Rhinolophus ferrumequinum: one gene and its partners. The protein of the gene in region 2 interacts with the protein of the main gene of each other region in a pairwise test. Links are inferred from orthologs where the notes say so. Each region holds a gene or a part of one and is shown on either strand. Other genes may lie near its edges.

The links.
Region 1: the proteins of ZNF24 (region 2) and LMO2 interact in binary tests that used the Homo sapiens proteins (3 or more experiments, as listed by UniProt). The two-hybrid records come from large-scale screens. The link is inferred for Rhinolophus ferrumequinum from reciprocal best matches to the Homo sapiens genes ZNF24 and LMO2.
Region 3: the proteins of ZNF24 (region 2) and ZNF446 interact in binary tests that used the Homo sapiens proteins (3 or more experiments, as listed by UniProt). The link is inferred for Rhinolophus ferrumequinum from reciprocal best matches to the Homo sapiens genes ZNF24 and ZNF446.

Annotation. Positions count from the first base shown.
Region 1 is NC_046294.1:23,930,828-23,934,573, reverse strand, and holds the start of LMO2 (rhombotin-2), read right to left. Parts: upstream 2,711-3,746; 5' UTR 2,433-2,710; coding exon 2,426-2,432; intron 2,294-2,425; coding exon 2,065-2,293; intron 1-2,064. UniProt on the Homo sapiens protein: Acts with TAL1/SCL to regulate red blood cell development. Also acts with LDB1 to maintain erythroid precursors in an immature state.
Region 2 is NC_046302.1:29,354,484-29,358,229, forward strand, and holds the start of ZNF24 (zinc finger protein 24), read right to left. Parts: upstream 2,699-3,746; 5' UTR 2,550-2,698; intron 684-2,549; 5' UTR 605-683; coding exon 185-604; intron 8-184; coding exon 1-7. UniProt on the Homo sapiens protein: Transcription factor required for myelination of differentiated oligodendrocytes. Required for the conversion of oligodendrocytes from the premyelinating to the myelinating state.
Region 3 is NC_046298.1:50,937,372-50,941,117, reverse strand, and holds the start of ZNF446 (zinc finger protein 446), read right to left. Parts: upstream 2,256-3,746; 5' UTR 1-2,255. Other genes in the region: zinc finger protein 324A, read right to left, coding at 2,841-3,746. UniProt on the Homo sapiens protein: May be involved in transcriptional regulation.

The DNA of each region.
Region 1 (3,746 bases), on a different chromosome or scaffold from region 2:
TCGCACTAACCCAAGTGGGCTTTGAGTGAGTACACAACAAAGCATCTGGTAGGATAGGGTTCCACAGCAGAGAAGTTAAGCAAAAGCTACTGTGATGGCCTGAGACAGGAAAGAACAGGTTAAGATATTGGCTCTATCTGTCTTTCTGTAATTAACGATAATATCACATTATCTTTGGTGGATGTTCCAAGCCAATAACCGAGTGGGATTCACCCTCAAATTAATATTTTATATTCTTCTAGAGCCTATACATTATACCTGAAATACATGTCAGCCTGGATTTCTGGGATAATTTCTCGACAATTTCTGAGTGAGGGGAAAAAAATGTGCTGCAGTAATTCTTAAAACTACCTTCCATCAGCACCTGCCTTCACTGGGCAAATAGTGACACATAGGATGGAATAGATGAGCTCCCTTCAGTGTGTGCCTGTTGTGCTATGAGGTTAGGGTGTTTCCATTTTCTAATATTAGTGGAAAAGCACAAACTTTGAAAAGAGCAAACTTCCTTTAGGGCACCAAAACCTCCAGATTTATCTTCTAATAAAAAGATTAGTGACTAAGTTCTGCTATTTGAAAAGGCATTAGGCACCAATTCATCCAATTCACTTACTGCGTTACTGTGGTCTTGCTCAGGCTCTGAAAACTCCAGAGCTAAGTTGTAATTCTAGGTTTGTAAAAAAAAAAAGTGAGAAAACCACCCTTTAAACCCAGTGTCTGTGCATATATATATAATTTTTCTCCTGAGAACTTAAGGAAGCTGGGTTTTGTTAGAACAAACCTAGCTCCTTATAGAAATGGTGTCTGAACCTTCAAGATTGAAGAGTGATGTTTATATTCTCATTGGATCATGGTACTTCCTGTGTTTTATGAGAACACGCTGAGCTTTTATGCTGGTAACTGAGGGTAAAACCCAGGTATATAAACACCACAGAAGGCTGAAACTGGAGTGGGGGCGGGGGAGGGGAGAACTTCAATCAGGAAAGCACAATTCTTTTAAAGCAGGAAAAGAAAAGAAAACAAAACAAAACAAATGCCTCTTAAAAGCACAAATGGACAAGTCATTAACCAGCTCCTTTGGTCTGTGTAACAAATCCCTTCAAAGGATTAGATGGGGGACTTCAAAGGAATAAAATTTCTCAAAACCAGACAGCTAATGAATCTTAAAAGGGCATTTGTGCTGACGGGAAAATATCTTAAACAACCCTTTCTCCCCCTGTTAACACCAAGGAATGAGCTGGAGGTAGATAGGTTGGGAATAGGGAAACACTTCAAACCAGTAAGAGGCTCAGGAAACAAATGCGGCAAGCGGTCGTTAGAGCTCTGGCTCCCTGACTCCTTGTAGACTGTGATAAAAGATGTAAGACTCGGCTCCCCAGAAAAATTCACCTATACACAAAATGTGCACTAACTTTCGAGGTTTACAAGGACCCCATCGGTGGACTCCGAGGGGAGGGGGGACATGCACCCAGATTAACTCCGGATTTAGCTGCTCTAAAGTCTCTGCAGGCCAAAGCGAGCTCCGAGGTGGACGCTCGCAGCCCTCATCCGCCCGTCTTTGACTGTGCTGGCGACTGCTCAACCAGCGGGCCGGGAAGGGGGCCGGTGGGGACTCAGGGTGAATCCACTTGGAATGTCCCCCTGTCCAAGACCAGATGGACAAAGAGAAAGGGGGCTGAGAACAAGCTTCGTGGGGAAAAAGGGGAAGAATCAAGCCCTGAACGCTCTCGGGACGGCACCTACGCGCCTCCGAGCTCCCCGCTGTGCCTGCTCCCCTGTAAACTTTCTGGCCCGCGGCGGCTTTTGGGAGTGTTCCAGGTAGCCCAGAGGGGCCCACAGAGGCGCCGGGCTGACCTCCTCTCCCTGCCGCCTGCCGCCGAGCCACTCTCCCAGTGCCCCTGGAGTCACCCGCAAGCCAGGGGGAGCCCCGCGCAAGGCGGAGTGAGCCAAGGGCACGCTGCGGGCGCGCACCTGGAGCCTTCTAGCTGGCCGCCGGCGCCACCCTGCTGCCCCGGGGCGCGAGGCCGTGGACGCGGTGGGTGGCAGGGGCAGGAGCGCCACACTTACTCAGACGGGTCCAAGCTCTTCCTCTCGATGGCCGAGGACATTGGGGAGGGAGGTGGCGTGCCAGGCGGCGGAGGCGCTCCCTTTGTGGCGCAGGGCTGGCCGGCTGCCGGGGCTCGGACCCCCTCCGGTGCTCGGGCGCCGCCGCCGCCGCCGCTCTTGCACCTCCTCTTGCTCTGGCGCTCTGGCGGCGAGCTCGCCCCTCCGCGATCAAGGACAGTCACCGCGCTCCCTTCAAACGCCAAAGAGAGAGAGCGAATCACCGAGCTGCCGGCGCGCCGCGGCCGAGGCGGGGAACCGGGCGCGCAGCCTGGCCCGGGGCGGCTGCAGCAGCAGCAGCAGCAGCTGCTGCTCAGGACTTAACCTTCCATCCCGGTCCCGCCGCCGCCACCCGGTCCAGCTCGGCTCGGCTCGGCTCGCGCGCTGTCCCCGGCGACGCGCCGCCCGCGGGGATGGTGCGCGCCCGCCCGGCCGCCCCTCGCCCCTCGCACCTTCAGCCCGGGTCGCGGCGCGCAGCTCGCCGCAGAGGGCAAGGAGGGGGCGGCGGCCTGGGGGCGGGGAGGGGACCTTGCCTCTCTCCCCGGCTCCCTCCTCTCTCGGGAAGGTCTATTTTCGCTCAGCTTCCCTCTGTCTCTGGTTTCATTTCCTTTTTCCTGATCACGATTCAAATACAATAGAAGGAAATCACATTTAAAGAGACAGCTGCCCGGTCCCCCCCCTCCCTTTTTTTCTTCCTTTTTTTTTTTTTTAAACGGGGCTCCTGGGGATTTGCAATACAAACAGTAGCAGCAGCAGCAGGACAGACTTGGCTTCTTAAAGGGGCCCGCGTCGGGGACGGGGAGAGTCGCTCAGTGAACACCTCTCCTTGGAGAGGCGGCTGGGTTGCCTCTAAATCAATTCTCAGGGCTTCCCCTCTTCGGCGTTTCCCTTTTGGCTAACTAAGACTGAAAGTAACAAGCGGGCCGCTCAGGGAAGAAAGAAAAGACAAGAATGTGAAATAAGCACATACAGAAATGCAAGCGTTCCGAATGGCTTTCGCGCGCGTCCGGGGTTCGAGGTCCCAGGTCCGCCGACGCGGTGCGCGGGGATGCCCGGGACAGCGCGGCTCTGCTGGCTGCGGGCTTGTGACTGCGTGCGCGCTCTAGACAGGCGGCTGGAACTGTGCGAGCAGGGACCACACGGGCTGGGTACGCCAGAGCAGTGTCAGGGCAGCTAATCCCGGAGGGAGGGTGGTTGGGAGGGACCAAGCTGTTCTGAGTCTCCTTTCCATCTGCTGGCAGCAGAATTCCCTCCCTCAGCATCTTTTAAAAATCGGACTCCTGCGGTTAAACCGGCCCCCTATAAAGTGCCAGTAATACTCTGCACAGAGAAAGTGCCTTTCCAATGATCAAGAGCAATGATCAAGAGACTATTTTGCCTCGGGTCAGGGAAAGGGAAGAAGCCAGACTTGATTTTGAAGTTCAGGTTTCCCCTCCAACCTCAGGGAGAAATTCTAGGAAGAGGCAGAAATGCAGAAGGGGAGAAGATGAGGCCAATAGTCTGCTCTCTGTTAGAGAAAAACTTTGGGTCCCTTGGGCCTCATCAGAGTTCCTTGAAAATGATCACATTCAGAAATTATTATTAAATGCCTATTTGTACATGACACCAGTCACAAATCTTGTAAAGAGGAAACTACCAAGCACTTT
Region 2 (3,746 bases):
GGGAAACCTGGAAATAACAAGATTTGATTCAGTTGATGAGGAATTTTATGAAAATTAGAGCTAAACACACATAAGAGAAACCATACAAAACATATACTGTAGTTGAGCGGAGTTGTTTCAAGCAGCCTTGCCCACTGCTATGTGAGTGCTTCTCACCCAGGAAAAGTGACACAAGCAGGCTCACCGGCTGTCCAGGGTCATCTAGTTCACTCTCTAAGTCCTCCAGCACCGTCACTGCCTCCTCTCCATTCTCTGGATGATGCTCTCGAACCCAAGTCTGCAGCTCCTTGGGCAAGATGGCAACAAATTGCTCCAGCACCACCAGCTCCAGGATTTGTTCTTTTGTGTGGGTCTCTGGCCTGAGCCACAGACGGCAAAGTTCTCGAAGCTGGCTAACAGCTTCACGGGGCCCTGGCGAATCCTGGTATCCAAACTGCCTGAATCGCTGTCGAAAAACCTCTGGGTCAGGGAGATGGTTCCAGGGGATACTTGATCCCTCTTCGCCATCAGGATCCTCCTCCAACTTCACTCTCAGAATTTTTTCATCTTCATCCGGTGTTGGGATGATAAGTATTGAATCTTCTTCCACTGACTGTGCAGACATCCTGATTTATAACACTTCAAAAAAAGATAAGGCAGGATACAGGCTTCTGGGAAATAACTCCTTTTCTTCACAGTCTCTCCTGAGGTACAAAAACATATATTTATAAATGACCAAATATCCTAAGAATTTGGATACATGCTAATAAAGGAAGTAAAAATATTTCTTCTTTTACTGGTTTAAAAATTCCAATCAATAACCTACACCAGAAGTTGGCAAACTACAGCCCATGGCCAAATCTGGCCTGCTGCCTGTTTTTGTACAATGCTTGTATTAAGAATAGTTTTCTCATTTTTACATGGTTGAAAACAAAATCAAAAGAATACTTCATGACATGTGAAAATATGAAATTAAAATGTCCACAAATAATTTTATTTATTTGTTCACAATTCACACCACAGTGGCAGAGTTGTGTAGTTGTAACAGAGACTATCTGGCCTAAAAAACCTAATATTTACTATCTGGCCCTTTAAAGTTTGACCTACAAAAGCAATAAACCTTATTTCAATAACCAAAAGAATCCAAGTTAAGAACCAGCCCACCTCAGAGTTTTCTAAATGCATTCGACCCTGGAACACCTTATTTGCAATTCAAGACTGGCGTTCCCAGCCAACCTTAGGTCAACTCAAAAACAAGGACACTTTTTTATTATCTGCTTAAGGAAAACATTTTTAAGACCAAATGTGTTTTTTAAAGTGGAAAGATATTTTTAAATGTTTAAGAACTCCCTAGACTTAAAATATATGTGAAAAAGTATTCACTTGCTCAGGAAAAGATAACATAATGTTGGAAAAAATTAGCCTCCCGGAGCCATACAATGCAAATATTATAGTCACCCACACCTTAACTACATTTAAACTTATCATTACAGGCATTAATGACCACAAATTCTACGTAGAAAAGAGACTCTCACAACCACCGTAACTTCTTACAGTGGACCTGAATCTTGTCCTTATACTAGATGACTCACAGTTTTCCCAGCTTCTACCTTCAGGGAAAACCTTGTGCTACTTCTGATGCTTCCCTTAGTTATTTGCACAGTCATGCCAGTGGCACTGTTTACAACACATATTAAGAATGAGACATGCAGCTACTCAATTTATCTGTTCAGGGCCCAGAATGTGAAAACCACTAATTTCAAAAAAACTTAACTGTAATCCTATCCAGATGAAGACCAGGGATCAGAAAAGATCTTATCAGGCAGGTATCACATACAAGGTTACTCTGGAATGTGGCCTTACAAATAGGATTCAGCCAACAGATTCGTTCCTTCCTATTCCAGAACGCTACCTTCGCAATGGCTCAAGCATTCTATATGAAAGAAATCTCTTCTATGTTCTTATCCCGCACTCTGATCAAAGGACGGGAAGGAGGTGCCGGGAGGGCAGGCCCGCGGTCCTGACAGTGTTTGGGTGGGCAGCCTCGTTCCACATCTCCCCACCTCACTCCTGCAGAGTTCCGCTGCGAACTCTGTCCCCGCCCCGACGTCCCCCGAACTCTCTTCTCCGCAGTAGCGGCGGAGTATTTCAGATGACCAAAGGCCACCCTGCCACAACAACGTCGGGGACACTGCACTTCCGTCCGCAGCCCGGGGAACTACAAGTTCCGGCAGCTCCCGCGCAGGGCCCGCCCTCTCCCACCTCCTCCCGAAACGAGTCCCAGAACTCTCCGCGAGACGCCAGCGCCTCGAAATAGAACAAAACCGGCAGATGGGGGAGGGGGAAGGCGAGGGTCGCGGAGGACACAGGATGGAGAACTCTCCGAGGGTGCCCAAAGCCCGAGCTGGCCTTTCGTCTGCCCCTTCACGCCCCGCAACTGCTGGGCGCCGAGACCGTGGCCTGTGCGCCGCACCTCCCGGGGACCCGAGGAAGGTACCTGCCAGGTTTCTTCGCTGGCTGCTGCCAAGCAGCCCGCAACCCCTAGCCCAGCGTCCCCGTCACGGTTTTACCTCAGTCTGGCGCAAACCTCCGGCTCAGGAACCTTAGCAGCTTCGCTGTCCAGGGCAGACGCAGAAACGCCGCTCACAAGCAGTTTCCCAGAAGCCCCCTGCGCGGGCTGCTTCCGGTCTGCGGGCCCCAGGAGGCGGGGAGAGGCGAAGCCCCACGTTGCCATGGAGATGCGCTCCGGGTGGGGGAGGGGCTGCCTAACGACAATGACCGCTTTGAGGTTTGGCTTGGCCTCGTGCCTCTCTCCTCAGATAGCCCAATGTTCTGTGTTCCGCTTAAAAGGCAAGGAAAAGAAAGAGAATTCTGCCGTTAGGATAGTCTGTTCGGTTTCACAAACCCTTTCACATGCATTTTCTCATGTCGTCTTCACAGTAATCCTCTGAAAGAAGTAATAAAAGGTAATATTTATGAATGCTTACTACATTGTGCCATGCACCATCACCATGCTTTACGTGTATTGTTACTAATCTTCACAAAAACCTATGATGGAGCCACTTATTATCCCCATTTCACAGCTGAAATAACTAAGGCAGAAGTAAATAACCTGCCAAGAGCTCATTAACTATTAAATGGGAAGCAGAATTTGAAACCAAAGCATGACTCCAGCCTTTGGCTCCCACTGGCTAAGCTACAGAGCTTTATTTTAACCAATTTATCTATTAGGGAAACAAGATGAGACATGTTAGAGCTTTGGCAATGATCTAACATTGAATTTGCAGAATGCACGGTCATCTTCTGACTTCAGGCTGGACATTTTATGCCATAAAACAGTTGCTGAGTGATCATTTAATAACGTAAATCAAACTACTTCATTCCCTATTTAAACGCCTTCAATGGATCCCCGCTGCCTTAAGTATGACATAAAAACTCTACATCCACCTGCATGGCCCCCTGTGGTCTGTTCCCTACCTTCCCTATCTGACCTCAGCTTAGGCTCACCATGGCCCAGCGTCCTCAGTCTCACTGCCCACCTTTCCTCCCGGCATCCTTTGCAGCATCATCTCACCCTGTGTTTTGTTTCGTTTTCTTTTGTTTTTGTCTGTAAGTCCCATAAGGGCAGAGAACTTGTGTCTTGTTCACTGCAGTATCCCCACCTAATCCTAGGATGCTGACTGCCAGGTACATAGAGAACTCAATGGATGTTTGTTGAATGAGTGAATTGTGGGCTGGCTACATTCCTGCCTTTGCTCGGTCACATG
Region 3 (3,746 bases), on a different chromosome or scaffold from region 2:
CTTTTCTCTGGACTGTGTGGGTTCCCCAGAAATGACTCTCCCACCATCCACCATGTAGATAGAGCTGAAGCTCTTACAGCTTTCTCCAGTATTCTCCCACCCGTCATATTTTAGGTCTCCCCTCCCGGGAGGTGGCTGATTTTCAAGCTTTCTGAAGTTCTGCAGCATAAGGCTGGTGGTACTTCCGTCTACTTCGTCCAGTAGCAACTCATTATCTGAATTGCCATAAGTCAGTAACAGCTCTTGCATCCCCACCTGGGTTCAAAATACCATTGTAACTGCCTCCTCTTTCACCATTCTCCTCATCAACCCACAGGATGTGTTTTAAACTCTGGTTTCAGTGGGCTTCTGAACCAAGTGAGAAGCATGTATTCAGTTCACCATCTTGACCCAGAAAGCCCAGGGACACTTACACTCACAGCTTGTTCAGGGTTAAGAACAGCCAGTCTGGCAGTACAGGGCCCAACATACCACAGAGGTTTGGGGGAAAGTAACTTAGGGGGAAGTTGGGTGCTCAAGACATGGGTGAAGGAAGGTGCTTATGGTTGCTGTTCCCACAGGAACAGGGTGGAGGCCACTGACCAGTCCTGGATATTGGGAGGGGTGGATTGGTGGAAGAACAGAGAACCAGGGCCTTACCCAAGAGGAGCTCAAGGAAAACAGGAGGCGGCTGGTCAGTAGACAGGAAAGGGCATCAGGCCCAGCATGAGTGGTCTGGAGGGCTCAGGGTGGAAACTGGGCTCCCATGTGTGTCCCAAGTGCAGAAAAGGTTGCATGTGATTCTGGGTACCCACTTGCAGTTTGACAGATGTTTTTGTTCCTGAATCCTATGGGTCCCCAGAAAAGTCCTCAGCAGGGTGAGGGTGTCTGCATTACACAGCTGTGCAGACTGAGGTGGATGTGACATGTTCAAGGCTGCCCCATGGAAGACAGCCTGCGGAAAGGTGAGGGTGTCGACCAGAGCAGAGCAGAGAGGATGAGTCCAGGAAGGGCGGACTATGGCTCAAGGGCCCACAGGGTACCAGGAGGCCTGGCTCGGAGGACCTGCCCTTGAAGGGTCTTGGGGAGCTGGGTCCTGCATGACTCCTCTCCATACCTCCAAGTCTGCCCTCCTTGTAGGAACTTGTGAGGTTCCTGGGGAAGATAGGTCCTGCTGGAAGGTGGGGGAGTAGGGAGATCATGTCTGTGCTCACTCTGTATGGCAGATGGCTGTGAGGTCTTGGTTGTGATGGCCCCTGACTCAGATTCCACAGCTTGAATCCACAAAGGCCCAACTCCTACTAGACCTACCCAGGTCTCCTGCGGCCCCTCACCCACCTCTGGCTGCCAAGGGGACACAGGTATCCCAACCCCTCAGGGCCACAGACAGGCTGCATCTCTTCCCTGTGGCTTCTCAAAGGGACCCAGGTTGAAGCCAAGTCCCCACAGCTCTGTGACAATGATATGCCCTGAGGGCACGTCTGCACTGTGCTAGGGTGAAATCAGGCTGTTACCATTCACACGTTTTTAAAAAGAAACCTTTATCAGGGAGCCTCTCTGGACTCGGGTGGGAAGGGAGGCTGAAGCTGTGGAATTCCACAGCGCTGTGCAAGAATTTACAATATATGCCCGTTCCAAGTTGTAACTTCGTCTTTTTTTTCCCAGTAAAAAGACCATTAACTTCCCTAGACATGAGGCCAAAGTCAAAATGGGCCTCAGTCTGCTAAGGGCCACAGGAAGTAAACTGGGCACCCACGCACCTGTCTACCTCAGTGTTCCCGCTGTGTGGAGGTGTCACACTGAGCGGGGATCTCAGGAGGGCACCTCATATGGGCAGAGAACAGGTAGGCATGTGGCCCCTGGGCCCTGCAGAAATGAGCAGCCCTATCTTGTGTCCTCTGAACCTGTCACTTCAGTCACCTCCTGTCAGGACAGTGGGGTGTAAAGGCTCCTATCAAGTTGACTTTGGTAATAGGACATGGAAATGCTGAGGCTTGGATGAGAATTGGAACGACTGTGGTTAGGGAGCCATCATTCTCCATCTGTCTTTCCCCTGCGGACCTCCACCTCCTATGGGTCAGCCATGCTCAGGGAGCCAGGCCAGGCCTCACTCAGCCCTCACAGCGAGCTGATTAGAGCGTAGGTGTGCAGTGGTAAGTTGTCTGGATGCCAGGCCTGGCTGTACTGTGTGCAATTCACACCCCTTCTCTGTGCCTCTGTGCCTCAGTTTCCTCCTACGAGAAGTGGGGATACCAGCCACAGCAGCCACCTCACAGGGGCTGGCACTTGGCACATGTTGGCCTTATCAAGAGCCTGTCTGTCAGGGTATGGCAAATACCCTCTGTAGGATGAAATCCCTTTTTTCTCTTTCTTTCCCCCAGAGGAGGAAGCTGAGGCTCAGAGCCCAGCCATTTACCCAGGGCCAGCACCCAACCCCCCACATGACCTCTCGTCCACTGGGCCAGCTCCCAGGAAGCCTTGGATGAATCCAGACCTGGGGGTAATATCCTGAATGTGTAAAAAATTTCTCGGCCTGCCTCCACTCCATCCCGGCACTGCCCTCCTCTTAGTGTTCAGTCACGACATGAGAGCAGTGGCGCCGCCCTGCTGTCCTGCCACTGGCTCTGCAATGTTTCAGCCTCACCAAAGTCCCAGCCTCCATCTCCCTCCTCCTGACCTTTCCGCAGCCTGACCTCTTGGGGATGGAGTCAGCTGTGGCTGAAGTGGCAAATCCTGTCACCACATACAGATGGAATTGCAGAGTGCGCACAGAGCTTCTCCAGAGTGTGGATTTTCAAAGGACACGGCCCGTTAGCTGTGGAAAGGACTCAGGAGAGATCGGAAACAGGGGAGCTGGGACCTCAGGCCTCAGCTGGCTTCGGCACGGTGGCTGGGCCTGAGCTGGAAGTGGGCCTGGCTTCCCTCCCAGGCGTGCCAGCTGAGGGTGCCTCCGGAGGCTTGGCCTGGGAGCTCAGGCCGGCCGTGGCCCTGAGCCTCCGCATGGGTTTCTCGCCCGTGTGGATCCTCTGGTGGTGGAAGAGAGCCGGGCGCTCGCGGAAGGCGCGGCCGCACTGTGCGCACACGAACGGCTTCTCACCTGTGTGGATGCGCCGGTGGCTGAGCAGCACGGCACCCTTGGCGAAGGCCTTGCCGCAGTCCCCGCAGCGGAAGGGCCGCTCTCCCGTGTGCAACAGCTGATGCTGCGTGAGGTTGGAGCTGTGGCTGAAGGCGCGGCCGCACTGCGCGCAAGTGAAGGGCTTCTCGCCCGTGTGCACGCGCTGGTGCTTAAAGAGTGAGGAGCCCTGGCTGAAGGCGGCCCCACAGAGCGCGCAGGCATACGGCTTCTCGCCTGTGTGCGTGCGCTCGTGCTGAATCAGGTGCGAGTTGCGGCAGAAGCGGCGGCCGCACCGCGCGCAGGCATAGGGCCGCCCGCCCGCATGGATCTTGCGGTGCTGGCTGAGGTTGGAGCCGTGGCTGAAGGCCTTGCCACACTCGCCGCAACGGAAGGCCTTCTCAGCCGTGTGGATGCGCTGGTGTCTCACAAGCGAAGAGCTGTGCCGGAAGGCCTTGCCGCAGGCCGTGCACGCGTAGGGCGTCTCACCGCTGTGGATGCGCTGGTGCTGCGTCAGGTGCGATGTCTGGCTGAAGGCCTTGCCGCACTGCCCGCACTCGTAGGGCCGCTCCCCGGTGTGCGTGCGCAAGTGCTTGAGCAGGTCGGAGCTCTTCACGAAGACTTTGTTGCACGCCCTGCACTCGAAGGTCTTCTC